4 linked regions of the Saccharomyces cerevisiae S288C genome follow. The gene in region 1 interacts genetically with each later gene. Each region holds a gene or a part of one and is shown in the gene's direction. Other genes may lie near its edges.

The links.
Region 2: of GPH1 (region 1) and PIB2, extra expression of one is lethal in a mutant of the other (dosage lethality), as found in Saccharomyces cerevisiae (2 studies listed by BioGRID, with this or other methods).
Region 3: of GPH1 (region 1) and SOD1, extra expression of one rescues a mutant of the other (dosage rescue), as found in Saccharomyces cerevisiae (one study listed by BioGRID).
Region 4: mutations in GPH1 (region 1) and FBP1 together harm fitness more than expected from each alone (negative genetic interaction), as found in Saccharomyces cerevisiae (2 studies listed by BioGRID).

Annotation. Positions count from the first base shown.
Region 1 is NC_001148.4:858,692-865,802, forward strand, and holds GPH1 (glycogen phosphorylase), read left to right. Parts: upstream 1-2,614; coding exon 2,615-5,323; downstream 5,324-7,111. Other genes in the region: beta-glucan synthesis-associated protein KRE6, read left to right, coding at 1-1,054; YPR159C-A (uncharacterized protein), read right to left, coding at 1,623-1,724; cyclin-dependent serine/threonine protein kinase SGV1, read right to left, coding at 5,758-7,111. UniProt on the Saccharomyces cerevisiae protein: Phosphorylase is an important allosteric enzyme in carbohydrate metabolism. Enzymes from different sources differ in their regulatory mechanisms and in their natural substrates. However, all known phosphorylases share catalytic and structural properties.
Region 2 is NC_001139.9:449,697-453,986, reverse strand, and holds PIB2 (Pib2p), read left to right. Parts: upstream 1-1,882; coding exon 1,883-3,790; downstream 3,791-4,290. Other genes in the region: dolichyl-diphosphooligosaccharide--protein glycosyltransferase subunit STT3, read right to left, coding at 1-1,583; PGD1 (Pgd1p), read left to right, coding at 4,030-4,290. UniProt on the Saccharomyces cerevisiae protein: Functions as an intracellular glutamine sensor that directly activates the TORC1 signaling pathway, to promote cell growth when glutamine is available. May play a role in repressing NPR1 activity independently of TORC1 signaling.
Region 3 is NC_001142.9:621,205-625,904, reverse strand, and holds SOD1 (superoxide dismutase SOD1), read left to right. Parts: upstream 1-2,890; coding exon 2,891-3,355; downstream 3,356-4,700. Other genes in the region: ECM27 (Ecm27p), read right to left, coding at 1-1,067; ADO1 (adenosine kinase), read right to left, coding at 1,302-2,324; CTP synthase URA8, read right to left, coding at 3,415-4,700. UniProt on the Saccharomyces cerevisiae protein: Destroys radicals which are normally produced within the cells and which are toxic to biological systems.
Region 4 is NC_001144.5:873,246-876,385, reverse strand, and holds FBP1 (fructose 1,6-bisphosphate 1-phosphatase), read left to right. Parts: upstream 1-1,593; coding exon 1,594-2,640; downstream 2,641-3,140. Other genes in the region: translocon subunit SEC61, read left to right, coding at 1-650; PSY3 (Psy3p), read left to right, coding at 2,832-3,140.

The DNA of each region.
Region 1 (7,111 bases):
CACAACTGTGAACGGAACCTTGCAGCTGAGAATGGATGCCTTTAAGAACCATGGCTTATATTACAGATCAGGTATGTTGCAGAGTTGGAATAAGGTTTGTTTCACGCAGGGTGCTCTAGAAATCTCTGCAAATCTACCAAATTATGGCCGTGTTTCAGGTTTGTGGCCCGGTCTTTGGACTATGGGTAATTTAGGGAGGCCCGGTTATTTGGCTAGTACCCAAGGTGTCTGGCCTTATTCTTATGAATCGTGTGATGCTGGTATTACACCCAACCAAAGTTCCCCGGATGGTATTTCTTACTTGCCGGGACAAAAGTTAAGTATTTGTACTTGTGATGGTGAAGATCATCCGAATCAAGGTGTTGGTAGAGGAGCTCCAGAAATTGATGTTTTGGAAGGTGAAACTGATACTAAGATTGGTGTAGGTATAGCCTCTCAATCCTTGCAAATTGCACCTTTTGATATCTGGTACATGCCTGACTATGATTTTATCGAGGTTTACAATTTCACAACAACGACCATGAACACTTATGCTGGCGGTCCATTTCAACAAGCCGTATCTGCTGTCTCAACTTTGAACGTAACTTGGTATGAATTCGGTGAGTACGGTGGCTACTTTCAAAAATATGCCATTGAGTATCTGAACGATGACGACAATGGTTATATCCGTTGGTTTGTTGGTGATACTCCAACTTATACTATTCATGCTAAAGCCTTACATCCTGATGGTAATATTGGTTGGAGAAGAATCAGTAAAGAACCAATGTCGATTATTCTAAATCTGGGTATTTCCAACAATTGGGCTTATATTGATTGGCAGTATATTTTCTTCCCAGTGGTTATGTCGATTGACTATGTTAGAATATACCAACCAAGTAATGCTATATCCGTGACATGCGATCCAAGTGACTATCCAACATATGATTATATTCAATCGCACTTAAATGCATTCCAGAATGCAAACTTAACTACTTGGGAAGATGCTGGTTACACGTTCCCTAAGAATATCCTAACTGGTAAATGTACTAGCTCGAAGTTCAAGTTATCCTCTTAAGCGGGTATTTTGATGGTAAATCTACAAGCCCTCGGCTTTAATTATTACCATGGTCATAAAAAGTTACTTACAATGCATACATTTTTCTTTTAGGAAGAAATAAAATATAAAAGACTTATCGTTCAAATCGGGTCATAAAGGGAACTAAAGGTATACTAAGGTAAGACGGGGTTCTCATCTGCACGTAATTTTTTATTATTTTTAGTGAGGGAGAACTTTACCTCTAAGATTGTTTATATAGGTATACACATTTTTGTAAAACTGATTATTCGTTTTTTTTTTTGAAACAAGTTATTAGTACAAAAATCAAGCTCTCACTACTTACCAGTAGTTATTTTAGTAGAATATTATTAACTCTACCGAATAAGTACGATATGAGAAATTGCTGATTTACTTGTGTGTGTTCCTATTATTATCCAGGAGCGCCTCTAATCTATGCTTATAATTTTACGTTGAAAAAAAAGGAGTCTGTATAATTATTTCAAATTCATCCTTTTCTCACGGATATTGTGTACCCTATGAGGTAAATAATTGCGCTTTATTTTCTCCCTGTGTTTGCTCGCTCATCTTAAGACGAAAAAAGTAATGGAACACCTACCATCAATAGAAGTACCACACTCATGTAAATAACAAGCGCAAGTGGTTTAGTGGTAAAATCCAACGTTGCCATCGTTGGGCCCCCGGTTCGATTCCGGGCTTGCGCAGATTTTATTTTTTGCTCCCTTCTAAAGCTCTGGATGATTCACCAACTTATCCAAGGCAAGGTCCAACTACCGTTTCCTTCGATGAAAAAGACAATAGGTAGCTCTGTCAAACCCCGTGGAAACGCAAACTCATCGGGAGTGTCCTACTGCTTTCCACTAGTTATCCGACTAGCAAGGCAACTAGTCAAGATGAAACCGTCTCACGAACATTTGTATACGATCTCTTCTCCTGATAGACAATGAAATATACCCCGGTGCTTGTTTCCCACTAAGGAAAAAAGGCCGCTGCCCCACAGCGGGAAGGCCCTTCAAGGGGTAGCGGCATCGCCTAGTAGCACTGTGGGGGGAAGAATACAACGCTCAACGGAAGAGGAAGCTCTGCGAGATGCAGCCAGCACCTTCTATGTTTCAAGGATAACATTTTGAATTAACAAGGAACGCCTTCCCCAATTACCGTTATTGTATTTTTACTTTTTAGAGACTCTCGAGGAAATAAGTAAGGGGTGGATAATTTTCGCTAAAAAAGTTTCAGGGGAGGTTAATAACTACCATGTGCATGCTACAAAGATAAGGAAGGAACACCGACGAATATATTATATGTATAAAAGGAGCATGAAGTTTGTATAGCAGTAAAGCAAGATTCTTTGTGCCTTCCCGTTTCTTGTTGTACCTTTTGTTTTGATTACGTACGAAGTATTATAAGTTTTTTCTGCTTGCTATTGTAATATAAAGTAAGCACAGATTGAGAAGGTAACGATTACTAAAAATATCCAAAAGAAAAACAATTGGATCTTTTTTGACTTCTCTACATTACAATTTCAGTAAAGCAGCTTTCAACTTAATTTAATTTTGAACAATGCCGCCAGCTAGTACTAGTACTACCAATGATATGATAACCGAAGAACCTACTTCTCCACACCAAATCCCAAGGCTTACAAGGAGACTTACGGGGTTTCTTCCCCAAGAAATCAAGTCAATTGACACGATGATTCCTTTAAAGTCAAGAGCGTTATGGAATAAGCATCAAGTCAAAAAATTTAACAAGGCAGAAGATTTTCAAGATAGATTCATTGACCATGTGGAAACTACATTAGCACGTTCCCTATATAATTGTGATGACATGGCTGCTTATGAAGCTGCTTCGATGAGTATTCGTGACAATTTGGTCATTGACTGGAACAAAACTCAGCAGAAATTCACCACAAGAGACCCAAAGAGAGTTTACTATTTGTCTTTGGAGTTTTTGATGGGTAGGGCTTTGGATAATGCCCTGATTAATATGAAGATTGAAGATCCGGAAGACCCTGCTGCCTCAAAGGGAAAACCAAGAGAAATGATTAAAGGGGCTTTGGATGATTTAGGTTTCAAGTTAGAGGATGTCTTGGACCAAGAACCGGACGCAGGTTTAGGTAATGGTGGTCTAGGTCGTCTTGCAGCTTGCTTCGTCGACTCAATGGCAACGGAAGGCATCCCTGCCTGGGGTTATGGTCTACGTTATGAGTATGGTATCTTTGCTCAAAAGATTATTGACGGTTACCAGGTGGAAACTCCAGATTACTGGTTAAATTCTGGTAATCCATGGGAAATTGAACGTAACGAAGTGCAAATTCCTGTCACCTTTTATGGTTATGTTGATAGACCAGAAGGCGGTAAAACTACACTGAGTGCGTCACAATGGATCGGTGGGGAAAGAGTTCTTGCTGTCGCGTATGATTTCCCAGTTCCGGGTTTCAAGACTTCCAATGTAAATAACTTAAGACTATGGCAAGCAAGGCCAACAACAGAATTTGATTTTGCAAAATTCAATAATGGTGACTATAAAAACTCTGTGGCTCAGCAACAACGCGCAGAGTCTATAACCGCTGTGTTGTATCCAAACGATAACTTTGCTCAAGGTAAGGAGTTGAGGTTGAAACAGCAGTACTTCTGGTGTGCTGCATCCTTACACGACATCTTAAGAAGATTCAAAAAATCCAAGAGGCCATGGACTGAATTTCCTGACCAAGTGGCTATTCAGTTGAATGATACTCATCCAACTTTAGCCATCGTTGAATTACAGAGAGTTTTGGTCGATCTAGAAAAACTAGATTGGCACGAGGCTTGGGACATCGTGACCAAGACTTTTGCTTATACTAACCACACTGTTATGCAAGAGGCCCTGGAAAAATGGCCCGTCGGCCTCTTTGGCCATTTGCTACCCAGACATTTGGAAATTATATATGATATCAACTGGTTCTTCTTGCAAGATGTGGCCAAAAAATTCCCCAAGGATGTTGATCTTTTGTCTCGTATATCCATCATCGAAGAAAACTCTCCAGAAAGACAGATCAGAATGGCCTTTTTGGCTATTGTTGGTTCACACAAGGTTAATGGTGTTGCTGAATTGCACTCTGAATTAATCAAAACGACCATATTTAAAGATTTTGTCAAGTTCTATGGTCCATCAAAGTTTGTCAATGTCACTAACGGTATCACACCAAGGAGATGGTTGAAGCAAGCTAACCCTTCATTGGCTAAACTGATCAGTGAAACCCTTAACGATCCAACAGAGGAGTATTTGTTGGACATGGCCAAACTGACCCAGTTGGGAAAATATGTTGAAGATAAGGAGTTTTTGAAAAAATGGAACCAAGTCAAGCTTAATAATAAGATCAGATTAGTAGATTTAATCAAAAAGGAAAATGATGGAGTAGACATCATTAACAGAGAGTATTTGGACGACACCTTGTTTGATATGCAAGTTAAACGTATTCATGAATATAAGCGTCAACAGCTAAACGTCTTTGGTATTATATACCGTTACCTGGCAATGAAGAATATGCTGAAGAACGGTGCTTCGATCGAAGAAGTTGCCAAGAAATATCCACGCAAGGTTTCAATCTTTGGTGGTAAGAGTGCTCCTGGTTACTACATGGCTAAGCTGATCATAAAATTGATCAACTGTGTTGCTGACATTGTTAATAACGACGAGTCAATTGAGCATTTGTTGAAGGTTGTCTTTGTTGCTGATTATAATGTTTCTAAGGCTGAAATCATTATTCCAGCAAGTGACTTGAGTGAGCATATTTCTACTGCTGGTACTGAAGCGTCTGGTACTTCTAATATGAAGTTTGTTATGAACGGTGGTTTGATTATTGGTACTGTTGATGGTGCCAATGTGGAAATCACAAGGGAAATTGGTGAAGATAATGTCTTCTTGTTTGGTAACCTAAGTGAAAATGTCGAAGAATTGAGATACAACCATCAATACCATCCACAAGATTTACCATCTAGTTTGGATTCTGTTTTATCCTACATTGAAAGTGGACAATTTTCTCCAGAAAATCCAAATGAATTCAAACCTTTAGTCGACAGTATTAAGTACCACGGCGATTATTACCTGGTCAGTGATGACTTTGAATCCTATCTGGCCACCCATGAATTAGTGGACCAGGAGTTCCACAATCAAAGGTCAGAATGGTTAAAAAAGAGTGTCCTGAGCGTTGCAAACGTCGGCTTCTTTAGCAGTGATCGTTGTATCGAGGAATACTCCGATACCATTTGGAACGTTGAACCAGTGACTTAGCTGGGAGTTTTTTTTATCTCTTTGGCACCCTTCTCCCCATTTCTAGTAAGCGCTTTTTTCTCTTTACTTCTTCTCTTATATAAAACGCCTTTAAAATAATCGTTATCGGTTTTTTGGCACTCTTTTAAATGGTATATATGATGTTACAGGAAAACTTAGTTGTTTTCATATTGAAAATCCGCGCAGGATAACGCTTGTGTAAAACCGAGTGTCCTGAAGGTGGGTAAGGCGGTCCTTATTATCACTTACTCGAACGTTGACATTGGTACAGTCCCTATCAGGTAGGATGTACTGACGTTTTGACAATAGTTTCGATTTTATGGATTGTTTGAAAAGAGCGAGACAGTGACAAAACGTGATAGATTACATAGTAGTCAGTATACAACTTTCCGTAATTAGCCACGAGGCCAGAAAGGAAGAGAGAATAGTATAACCTAATATAGATCTGCAATATCACTATTTTGGAACTCCTTAGACTCATCTGGTTTCGCTCTTTCATCCTTAAAGCTTCCATTTTTTTTCTCTATTGGTTTACTCGTAAGCTGATGCTGCCCCTGTGAGGGCGAGATTGGGAATTGTGGATGAGAAGGTCTCGAGCCTTGATGATGATCACCAGCCATATTGCGAGAACCGTTTGAAGGATTATAATTTTTATTGATTGGCGCATTGGATTCTTGGCGACTATATTTCTGTGGTTGCCTATTGAAGTTGGTTTCCGGCTTGTTCACGTACCTAGGGTTATGATATCTAGAGTCATTTGGCGAGTTTTTGTACCGGGACTCATTTGAATTACCCTGGTATCTTGACTGAGGCCCCAATGGCAAAGGTACTTTATTATATTTAGAGCTGACATTTGTCTCAGGATGAAATCGATTTACGGGATTCCTGCTGTTGTTGGGTGCAGTGCTGTTGCCGCTGAAGCGATTATTTCTGGAACTATTGTTGGGTCCGTATCTATTAACTCCTGCAGGGGCTGCTGGCGGTGGAATCGCAGTTTTAGCATATCCGCTGTTCACATGATACGGTCTAGGATTTTGATGTAGTTCTCTTATTTTCGAAGGAGGCGGCTTAGCCAATACGTTCTTTGATGGAGGCAAAAAACTTGCGTCATCTTTCTTGGGGCCTCTTGGGATCGCCCCAAGATTTTTCACGACAGGTGATTCACCCTTTTCAACTATATGACCTCTTGGCGCAGTAGGTACTCTTTGGGACAATGATTGGTGCATTTCTTCCTTGTACCTCTTAATATCAGCTTCATGACTTTCTTCCGTCGGTAATGTTATCTTCTCTGATGGTAAAGGGTCCTCTTTAAACCAAGGATGGTGTTTAGCAGACATAGCGGTCAACCTCTTGTAAGGATCTAACGCTAACAACTGTCCTAAAAAATCTAGACCTGTTTCACTTAGATATTTACCAAATCTTTCCCTCAACGTTGGCTTGTAATTAGTTGTTGTTAGTTCAGCACCTGGCAAATATCTAGCCACGGCCCAATCTTCTTCTGTCGGTGTACCAAGTAGTTTGAAAATAACATGTCCCTGATCAATATCCGTTTTTCCCTGTAAAATAGGTTTTTTCTCAAAAAATTCTGCGAAAACGCATCCGACACCCCATATATCAACAGCTGTTGTATACTGTTTATCACCAAGCACCAACTCAGGTGCTCTATACCATCTCGTTACGACTACTGATGTATATTTGGCGCCGGAACCTGCACCACCAGGATACTTTAAGTTTGGAGGACAGCCATAATATAATCTTGCTAAACCAAAATCAGCAAGCTTTAAAACA
Region 2 (4,290 bases), on another chromosome or scaffold:
TCTGCCATGCCACCAATTTGGTAACCGTAATCCCACCACGCTGCAACCTTACTGTCCTCATCAGAGTTCATTCTTAACCAATAGTACGCTTCCCTGAAGTCGTCGATCAACGCCAATTTACCATCTGGGGTTTGTGATGGCAAAACAACAGAAGGAGAAGAGTATGCAGTTCTTGTTACCCAAGTAGAATGGAAGACGAAAAGATACAAATAAAAGATGAATGATCCGGAAACAATCAATTTGGCCAGTAGTGCCGCAGGTTTGATGGCGTATTTGCGGTCACTTGTCTTGAAATCCAGGTAGATGTCAAATATCTTGGACAATGCGACGGCGGCGGACACACAGATGACTGGTGTCAAAGTCAACATCAATCTAACCATAACACCGGCAAAGTACGAACACAGAACGGAGTAAGCGATGACAAAAACGTGCTCGTCTTTCAAGTCGAGGAATAGTAGGAATACACCGGCGGGGAATAGCCAGATCAAAAAGTGGGTATCAAAGAAGAAAGCGGGCCACGAAACGGGTTGATGTTCGGAAACGGAGGCAATGATAGGAATGTGGATCTTTGCGTAGTTGGTATCCCATAACGAATAAAATCTACCAGTCCAAGGGGCAATCAACCCCATATAGGTCAAGGCAGAAAGTCCGACCACACCAAGGACCAAGATCAAAAACAGAGAAACCATCATGATGACTTTAAACTTAGCTGTGCTGATTTGGCCCTTCACGAAGTCACCGAAGGCGACAATCTGAATCAAACCGAAAACACCCAATGCGGCCATGTGGTCGTTAGACCTGATAGGTAGGAAACCGACAAATGGGATCTGCATGGATGCAACAGTTCCAATAGCGTACCAAGTGGTGTAGGCAGAATACAGTTTGGACGAATATCTGCCCATCAAAATCAGCAAAAAGACATGGAGTGGGATCAAGTTGGTGATGAACACGTATCCACCCCAAGCCGACACCATGTAGAAGTAGAATAAAGCTGCACACGTTGCGTGCATGATAGAGCCAGTCTTTTGGGCCTTAATCCAAAACATGAAAGTGACCATTAATAGTGTAATGGCAATGGCCTCATTATCGTAGGACCCCGCCACTGATCTAGATATATAACCGGGGACAATGGCTATAAAACCAGCAGCCAAAAGCCCAGCGCTGGCATCTTTAATCTCTTTCGTAAATTCGTAAGTCGCCCAGGCGGTGACCCCAGAAAATAGTGGCGCAAATAGCACACAAACGTTTCTGATGTCAATGGGCAAGCCCAACCAGTTGCGCAGGGCGTGCCAGATGAACGCACTAGTCGTCATCAAACCAGGATATAAAGTCCCTCCAGTAACCCTTCCGAGGGGGTACCAGGTACGGTCGTCAAACCAGTTCAAAAACTTGTAAAACGAATTGTTGACGAGATATTTGGTAGCCCTATAATTGAACCAGGGGTCGAATTCATGGATAATAGACTCAAATTTGATGACTGCAAACAAACGTGATGATATGGCAGCCCCAAAAATCGCCACGAAGATGACGAGCTTGAGGATGGTCTGAAACACAGACAAAACACACGACCGGTCGGATCCCATGGCAGCTGTGATAATGACGAATGGTAGTTAGGATTTACGGCTGTGAATGCGATTGCGGATGCTATGTCACGTTGAATTAGACCGTGCTTTTGCTGCTTTTCTTTCTTTCAGACTTGCTCTTTTGTTCGTGTCTTATTTTGTCAATTCTCGACCAGCGCGAAAAAGCAACCGTCGATGGTGACCATTTAGCAGAGGCGAAGAGAAGTAAAAGAAAGCTTATGATATGACTATTGAGACCTGGAATAGGTACGAAGCGCCAGTGAGGAGGACTGGGCAGCACAGTTGTAGTGGAGACCAGAATGACTGCGTTGCATAGTGTGTCCAAAACGCCCGCGATCAAGGAAGAGGAGGAGGACGGTGATGAGCGAGACGGCAGAGGAGTTCCCCTGGGACCAAGGAACCATGACTACCGTGGCAGGAAAGGTGATGAGGAAAGCGGTGCTGACACCGTGACATCTCCCATCACGTTTGAAAAGAAGAAGATAGCGCCCAGGGCGTCAACGCATTCCGAACAGAGTATTTTGAGCAGCATCTCATTGAAATCGATGGTAAATCAACATCGTCAGCAGCAGTTGCAGCAAGAGAGCTCAACAGGGGCAGGCACTGGGTTTGTTGACAGAAAGCAGCAGATCCAATCTCCGGCGATGGTGTCCATATTGAGGAAGAACTCTGCTGAGGAGAATGTTCGCAGCAGCCACAGTAGCAAGCTCGGTGAAGGGCAGATAGATGGTAGGAAGGCTTCTGCTAGTAAGGAGATCGGCAAGACGTTGCCATTCACGGATGACCAAAGATCGAACCCTGAACTAGATCCCACCAATAGCGTGGTGGATGTTAGCAGGGGCAAGAATACAAAGAGCAAAACTGTGTTCAATGAGTTAGAAGATGATGCCGATGACGATGACGAGGTTCGACAAAAGAATCTAACCACGCAGGCGTTACGCAAGTTGTCGTCGTTCAAAATGAATGCTAGTTCTAATTTGAGGTTGAGTAAAGAAAACAAGGCGAAAGAGTCTTCATCTTCGTCCACGTCTTCAGTGTCGTCATCGTCGACGTCGAAGGTGGAAAATATTGTCGACAAGCTGACTACAACGAATTCTAGCTCGATGTCCCAACTGCGGTTTGGCAACACGAACGTCATTATTGATTCGGTGAATCATGCGGCGAAACCGCCGCATCAGCAGATGCTAAGGAAACCCTCGCTGGAATTTTTACCGCAGCCTGCTTCGAGCACTAATCTGAATTTTAATTCCAATAAACATAAATCAAATGTAAGACAGATCAGTAACCCTAAAAAACCGCTATACATCCCCGCCGTGCTGAGGAAAGTTTCAGAGACAAACATAACTAATGACGATCTGTTGAATGCAACATTGTCGTCTTACTACAAGAAGGCATCTAACCTGGAACATGGCTTTAATCCAAGCAAGTCGCAATCCGCTAGCGTTCAGAATGCGAACAACCTACGGATCATATCTTCTCAATCCAGCGTACAATCCAACACATCGTCAATCTTGGAAAGCTACAAAAACAAAATATCCTCGTACTTGTTCCCGAATTCTATTCCGAACAGCGACAGAATCAACTTAATACCAACTATTTCAAACAGAAACTCTGCCAGAGTAAACCCGCCCACTAAGGACCACTGGATTCCGGACAGTAAGAGGAATTCTTGTCGTTACTGCCATAAGCCTTTTACCCTGTGGGAAAGGAAACATCATTGCAGGCATTGCGGGGACATCTTTTGTCAAGACCATTTGCGCCATTGGCTGTACCTGGACTCGCAGGCAAATTTTATAATGATCAACGAACTAAACAACGGTGGCATAAATGGCGGTGGCACTCTCTGTAAAATATGCGATGACTGTCTGGTCGAGTACGAGAACCTTTCAACCACGAACCATAACGCAAACACGAACGAGGATAACATAAACGTTGAGGAGGGCGAAGATGACGATAATGACAATAGGAAGAAATTACGCAATTACTACAAGAATAGGCAGATGAACGCTCTTTTCAGACCAAAGAAGGGCGGTTCGTCCCAAGAGCATGCCACGGTTGATCGAGACACAACAACGCCCATCCAGGTGAAGTCGAACGACGAAGAAGCAGATAATGAGAATACGGGGGGAGAACAAGAAGAAGGTAATGATGTTTTGGGCAGTGTTATCGGCTCTGTGCCTGCAAACTGGAATTGGAGTAGTTTCTGATGAACATTTTTTGCGAGACAAGCGAAGAGAGGATGTACACTATTGATGTATGACCATTATGTATACAATAAACTTAATATAATATGATATAATATAATATAATATATAACACTAACACTTTCCTGAGGATTTTCGGTATGGCGCCGAGCGAAATTTTAAAGAGAACAACAGAAACAGTCACCAAGACTTCTTCAATTAGGCAGCGCAAAACGGACACAACAGCAGTAAAGACAACCGGAATGGACTCGATTATACCGGCAGGCGTCAAGCTAGATGATTTACAAGTGATATTGGCTAAGAACGAGAATGAAACCAGGGACAAAGTGTGTAAGCAGATCAACGAAGCACGCGATGAAATTCTGCCGTTGCGATTGCAGTTCAATGAATTCATACAGATAATGGCAAACATAGACCAAGAAGGATCCAAGCAGGCTGACCGTATGGCCAAATACCTACATATCAGAGACAAGATTTTGCAACTGAACGATAGATTCCAGACT
Region 3 (4,700 bases), on another chromosome or scaffold:
AATACTTGCTCTTGAGACTCTTCATCATCAGGGTTGTCACGGTAGGGGGCGAACACCGCTGGGGAACTATTTATTGCTCTTTCAGAATCTCTATATTCCGTAAACGCATTCGTTGGCTCACTGAAAGGTCTTCCAGCACTCGTTGCCTCTCCTGCAACTGTTGCAGAGGCGGACCAATGTTGTCCCGGCGTCATGCTACGTAGAGTGTTCAATTCTGCCATTTCATTCCTTGAGTCATCCTCCTCCAAAGATGAGTTTTCAAGCATTGATAAGAAACTATTGAAATCCATAGCAGATAGCAAACTAGGCTTAATGCCGTGTGTTATAGAATTGGATATGTCAAAGCCAGGTTGTATTGGTGGTAGTAAACCAGAAGCCATCAGAGAGTCATCCAAAAAAGGAGAAACGGAGTTTTCTCTGAGGCTCGTATCCGCAGCAGTTTCATCTGGGGTTTCTGCAGAATGATTAAGCTTGAAAGTTAACTTAACGACTAGATAAAAGGCATAAAGGAACGCCATCAAAAGGCAATTCAGCACAGTGACCTGATTCATAAGGGAAACGTAACTCATTACGCACATGGCAGCTAAAGAAAATAACAAGTCTCTCATGATGGATAGTTTTTGAATTTGCGAGATTTCAATGTGAGTTCTTGACATAATAATAAAAATGGAGCCCTCTACAATGCACAGGATAATGCCGCAAGCGCCAAGCACCTCACCAATTGATAGCGATACTGAGGTTGACCTTGTTTCTCTCGTAGAGGTTGCCCAGCTCATTAAGTTGGAAAATAGGTCAGGCGAAGAGTTACACCAAGATAGTAGAACTGCCATTAATGCCCCAGTATGAGATGCATGGGACGCCGTTTTTGAGACTAAAGAACCATTCGATCGAAGGCTGTTGGGATCTGATATATGGGCCACGTTGGGGCAAAGAAAATCGGATGCACATATTCCTAATAACACGAAAGCAATAATGATATGAAATAAGCTCGGCACAATAAACGTTACTGAAAGTTTAGGATCCTTGTAAAGTAATCGTGGATGGGCGACATTGATTGCCCAGTCCATATTATTGTGTTATTGTTGCTTGTGTACGGCCGTATGTGGAGAGGATGAACGAGTATTTTGTTCTTAGCGCTGCTTGTCCTTTTTTCTTGAAGCTGTACTTTATAGCGCCTCTTTTCCTTATTGTGGTAACGGTGGCTTATTTGGTTTAAGAACAAGCGGTAAACATGTCTACGAATGAAAAGCTAGAGGGAACACGTAGAGTATATTTTATTTCTATTATATTGTAAGAAGAATCTATTTAGAGTAAGATATTTTTTCGGAAGGGTAAGAGGGACCAACTTCTTGAATAGACAAAGCAGCTAGCCATTGACCCATGTCAATAGAGGTTTCCAAATCTTCACCTTTAGTCAACCCAGCCATAAAGCCACCAGCGAAGGCGTCACCAGCACCGTTGGTGTCGACGATCTTAGAAGAGTCCAAAGGTTTGACTGGATATGTGCTGGTACCCTTGGAGGACACGACCACTGTTGGTTCGACACCGTGGGTGAAGATGACAGTCTTTTCAACTGGAGAGTCCTTGACAATTCTTTGAGCAATAGCTTCCAAATCAGTGTTGGCACAGTCTAATTGGAAGGCGTCGCAAAAGGCTTCGGCCTCCGATTCGTTAGCGATGATGACGGTAGCATAAGGCAAAACTCTGGCCAATGCGTCTTTGAAGACATGAGGAATGAAAGGAGCACTAAAGTTCAACACGAAAGGTTTGCTGTTCTCTTTAGCATGTTGGCCCAACTTAACGATAGCGTCTGGAGACACGGTCAAGTGGAAACCACCGATGTAGAAGAGCTTAGCTGCTTCGACCAAGTCCCAATGCTTGTCCAAGTGGTCTGGAGTAAAGAAATTGGCAGCACCCAAGTCAGTGACCAAGGACCGGTTATGGCCAGTGATTAATGCGGCACACTTACCGGTACCAATATCATTTTGAACTTGGTACATAGACTTGACACCAGCTTTTTCGTTTTCGTTAAGCAATCTCTCGCTGAACTTGTCCTTACCGACGGAACCGAAGTACACCACCTGGCCGGCGCCCAAAACGTATGCTGCCCCTCTAGCAGTGTTTTGAGCAGCACCACCTGCAACAAGCTTTGTTTCTGGCATCTGTAAGAGCTCGTCAAAAATAGCCATCTTAGCATCGCCTGATTTGGCATCGACCAAAATTGCGTCGTTTTCCTTTAGAGAATACTTGGCCAGGTATTCAGCCGTGACGTCGGCTTGGAAATCTAAAAGTGGGTTACCCAATACTACCAATGGTGCGGTCATAATTGCTTGCTCTTTCTTTTGCTGTTATCTTTGGTTCTACCCTGCACAAGATAAACTGAGATGACTACCTAATTAGACATGGCATGCCTATAAGTAAAGAGAATTGGGCTCGAAGAATAATTTTCAAGCCTGCCCTCATCACGTACGACGACACTGCGACTCATCCATGTGAAAATTATCGGCATCTGCAAAAAAAGTTTCAACTTCCACAGGTAATATTGGCATGATGCGAAATTGGACGTAAGTATCTCTGAAGTGCAGCCGATTGGGCGTGCGACTCACCCACTCAGGACATGATCTCAGTAGCGGGTTCGATAAGGCGATGACAGCGCAAATGCCGCTTACTGGAAGTACAGAACCCGCTCCCTTAGGGGCACCCACCCCAGCACGCCGGGGGGTTAAACCGGTGTGTCGGAATTAGTAAGCGGACATCCCTTCCGCTGGGCTCGCCATCGCAGATATATATATAAGAAGATGGTTTTGGGCAAATGTTTAGCTGTAACTATGTTGCGGAAAAACAGGCAAGAAAGCAATCGCGCAAACAAATAAAACATAATTAATTTATAATGGTTCAAGCAGTCGCAGTGTTAAAGGGTGATGCCGGTGTCTCTGGTGTTGTCAAGTTCGAACAGGCTTCCGAATCCGAGCCAACCACTGTCTCTTACGAGATCGCTGGTAACAGTCCTAACGCAGAACGTGGGTTCCACATTCATGAGTTTGGAGATGCCACCAATGGTTGTGTCTCTGCTGGTCCTCACTTCAATCCTTTCAAGAAGACACATGGTGCTCCAACTGACGAAGTCAGACATGTCGGTGACATGGGTAACGTAAAGACGGACGAAAATGGTGTGGCCAAGGGCTCCTTCAAGGACTCTTTGATCAAGCTTATCGGTCCTACCTCCGTTGTAGGCAGAAGCGTCGTTATCCACGCCGGCCAAGATGACTTAGGTAAGGGTGACACTGAAGAATCTTTGAAGACTGGTAATGCCGGTCCAAGACCAGCCTGTGGTGTCATTGGTCTAACCAACTAATGTTAATGATAATATACTTGAATAAAAACCGTATGTAAGTAAGTAGTAAGCGCATCAATTCATTCATTTTCATTTCCCTCGCTTAGATTTATGTCCTTGATCACTTCACCAAGTGTGCCGGAGGCTGCGGCCACAAGCCCCCAAAACGGTCTTGATGGTTCCAGCACCTTCGATGTATACTCTGGATGGTATTGAGTGCCCACGTAGTATGGATGGCCTTTCAATTCGAATATTTCGCAACGCTGGCCCGTCTCGTCCTTACCAACAAAAATAAAGCCACGAGACTCCATATCATTCACTATTTTCGGGTTTATCTCATAGCGATGACGATGTCTCTCATGCACCTCATTAACTTCACCATAAAGCTTCCTTATGTTGCTCCATTCTGAGTTCGGTTGGAAAATGGTAGGCCTCAAACCCAATCTCATCGTGCCACCCATGTGTTCCTTGTCGATCTCGGGCATGTATATGACTACTTGGTCTTCAGGAGCTAGTAGTGTCTCGTCCAAAAATTCTGTAGAACTGCTGTTTGGGCGGCCTATCACATTGCGGGCGAACTCGATAGCGGCAACTTGTAATCCAAGACAGACACCAAGAAAGGGAACACCGGATTCACGGGCCCATTTGGCAGCAAGAATCATACCTTCAATACCTCTCGTGCCAAATCCACCAGGAACCAAAATTCCGTCGGCGGAACTGAGCTTATTCCATGAATCGTGGAACTTGTTCTTGTCCACCTCTTGAGTTTCGGGCTCTAGGTTACTTGCCTCTACCCAGAGGATTTCTAGCTGACGACGGCACTTCATGCTTGCGTGTTCTAAGGATTTGGTCACAGATAGGTAGGAATCCTTCAAATTAGTGTATTTTCCCACAAGAGCAATCTTGACAACATCATCAGAATCATCTAGGTTTTTGGTCATGTTTTCCCAGTTAGTCAATAATTGAGACCCTCTTTCCTTGTCTTCCAAGGTTAGAGGCACTTCACCTAATTTCAACCTTGAATGGAGGTAGTCGATCATATGTTGCTTTAGCAGCAATAAGGGAACGTGGTACGTGGAGTTAACATCATGAACGTTGACCACTTGCTCCGGCCCCACATGGCAAAACATGGCAATCTTGTCAATAGTGCTCCTGTTAAGTTCTTCGCTGCATCTGCAGGCAATCATATCGGGAATAAGCCCTAATGACCTTAAATCTTTGATTGCTGCTTGGGTGGGTTTCGTCTTCTGTTCACCATGAATGACGGGCACAAGTGAAACATGGATCAGGGCGAAATTCTCTCTTCCAACTTCGAACTGAAATTGTCGTAATGCTTCCACGAAGGGCGCACTCTCAATGTCACCGA
Region 4 (3,140 bases), on another chromosome or scaffold:
ACGAATTGCCCATCAGGTCAACCAAAGTGAGAGGTCAAATTGGTATCTACCCCATCAAACTCTTTTATACTTCCAACACCCCAATCATGTTGCAGAGTGCATTGACTTCTAACATTTTCTTGATCTCTCAAATCCTTTTCCAGAAATACCCAACCAATCCATTGATTCGTTTGATCGGTGTTTGGGGTATCAGGCCGGGCACCCAGGGCCCTCAAATGGCCTTGAGCGGGTTGGCCTACTACATCCAACCATTAATGTCTTTATCCGAAGCTCTTCTGGACCCTATCAAGACCATCGTCTACATCACATTTGTTCTTGGTTCATGCGCAGTATTTTCCAAGACATGGATCGAAATCTCCGGCACTTCCCCACGTGACATTGCCAAACAATTCAAAGATCAAGGCATGGTCATTAACGGTAAGAGAGAAACCTCCATTTACAGAGAATTGAAGAAGATCATTCCAACTGCTGCTGCTTTCGGCGGTGCTACCATCGGTGCTCTTTCTGTTGGCTCCGACCTACTAGGTACTTTAGGTTCTGGGGCATCCATTTTGATGGCTACTACCACCATCTACGGCTACTACGAAGCTGCCGCCAAGGAAGGTGGGTTTACTAAGAACCTCGTTCCAGGATTTTCTGATTTGATGTGAATATAAAATGAAAATAATATCCAAAGAAAAAAAAAATCGCATTTAGCCACACCCCTCCCTCTATTTTTTTATTTTGTTACCATAGTTTTATCAACGCCTTCTTACACCTGTATAGAGCTAAATAACTATATATATGTATGCGCAAATAATTCCTAGAAAATCGTCGATTTTTATAAATTCTAACCGCCGATTAACAATATCATACGCGATCTAAATTTATAATAGGCGTGAAGCAAAGGAAGTTGATAAAAAAAAAGTAAAGAACTCCTCATAGGGGGCTCGAACCCCTGACATTTCGGTATCCTTGCTTAAGCAAATGCGCTTAAAAGCCGAACGCTCTACCAACTGAGCTAACAAGGATGAGTTCTTCGAATTTTCCAGTCTAAGATAGACAACCCATCAAACTGCATGGTCCCGGGCTAACTTCTGCTCTCTTTTCCGGACGGATGGAATCGCCGCTTTTGAATTCACCTCCGGGGTATTATTATTATTCTTAGTAGTCGCGGTCGTGCGGACACCCGGAGTTATGCGGGCCCGAAAGCTCATTATGTAGTAAAGCTAGGTAATGTTAAGGGCGTAAGAGCCAACGCAAGGCAGCAATAGCCTGGTATTCCCACATATCAAGAAAGCTTAAAAAGTTGAGACAGGGAATTTGAAGGCGAAGATTGCCGAACTGGCCAATACCCACTACTTTTTTTTTGGTTTGCTTGGTTTCTTCCTGTCGCTTGCCAACTTGTGGCATCTTCCCCACACTATATTATAAGGATCGTCCTATGTATAGGCAATATTATCCATTTCACTCGCTAACAAATGTACGTATATATATGGAGCAACAAGTAGTGCAATTACAGACGTGTATTTTGTCTTGATCTTGCTTTTTGTATGATAGGCCTAAGAATAACAGTGCGAACATATAAGAAACATCCCTCATACTACCACACATATGCCAACTCTAGTAAATGGACCAAGAAGAGACTCTACCGAAGGGTTTGATACCGATATCATCACTCTTCCTAGATTCATAATCGAGCACCAGAAGCAATTTAAGAACGCTACTGGTGATTTCACATTAGTACTGAATGCCTTGCAATTCGCGTTCAAATTTGTATCTCACACCATCAGACGTGCTGAATTGGTTAACTTGGTTGGGTTAGCAGGCGCTTCCAACTTCACTGGTGACCAGCAAAAGAAGTTGGACGTTCTAGGTGATGAAATATTTATCAATGCCATGAGGGCTAGTGGGATCATCAAGGTCCTTGTATCTGAAGAACAGGAAGACTTGATCGTTTTTCCCACAAACACGGGCTCATACGCAGTGTGTTGTGATCCTATTGATGGCTCCTCAAATTTGGACGCCGGTGTCTCCGTTGGAACTATCGCGTCTATATTCAGACTGCTACCAGACTCATCAGGTACTATAAACGACGTACTGAGATGTGGTAAAGAAATGGTAGCCGCTTGCTATGCCATGTACGGATCCTCTACGCATCTAGTATTGACATTGGGTGATGGAGTTGATGGGTTTACCTTAGACACAAACTTGGGCGAATTCATCTTGACTCATCCTAACTTAAGAATTCCGCCTCAAAAGGCCATCTACTCAATTAATGAAGGTAACACCCTCTACTGGAACGAGACTATAAGAACATTTATTGAGAAAGTCAAACAACCCCAAGCAGACAACAACAACAAGCCTTTCTCGGCTAGGTATGTTGGATCCATGGTTGCTGATGTTCACAGGACGTTTCTTTACGGTGGCCTTTTCGCATACCCTTGCGACAAGAAGAGCCCCAACGGAAAACTGAGGTTGCTTTATGAGGCCTTCCCAATGGCTTTCTTAATGGAACAAGCAGGGGGAAAAGCGGTCAACGATCGCGGAGAGAGAATCTTGGATTTGGTGCCAAGTCATATCCATGACAAATCTTCTATTTGGTTGGGTTCTTCAGGTGAAATTGACAAATTTTTAGACCATATTGGCAAGTCACAGTAGTTCAATGATCGCCTTCTTTTCTTATTTTCTTTGTTCTGTACTTTAGTACGCGAAAAAAAAAAATCTGTATATGTCCTTATATATATATATATTTATATATATATATGTGTATGTATGTGTACCGTAAGCATTACTCCTTCTAATAATGAAAATTCTTAGGAAAAGAGAAAGGAAGTAGCGAATGGAATGGGATGGAAGTTTTAAAGAACATTAGAATTTATCCTTTGTCAAACTTCATCACATCAACCAAGAACTATATAAACCTACCAAATGAATTAAGAAACCTAATTAGTGAAGAGCAGGAGAGTAAACTAGGGTTCTTGCACATCATTGAAAGTGATTTTAAACCTTCGGTAGCGCTGCAAAAGTTGGTGAATTGTACTACGGGGGACGAAAAGATCCTAATCATAGATATAGTATCAATATGGTCCCAACAAAAGCAAAGACAGCATGGCGCGATCTACATGAATTCGCTATCTTGCATAAACATCACGGGATTA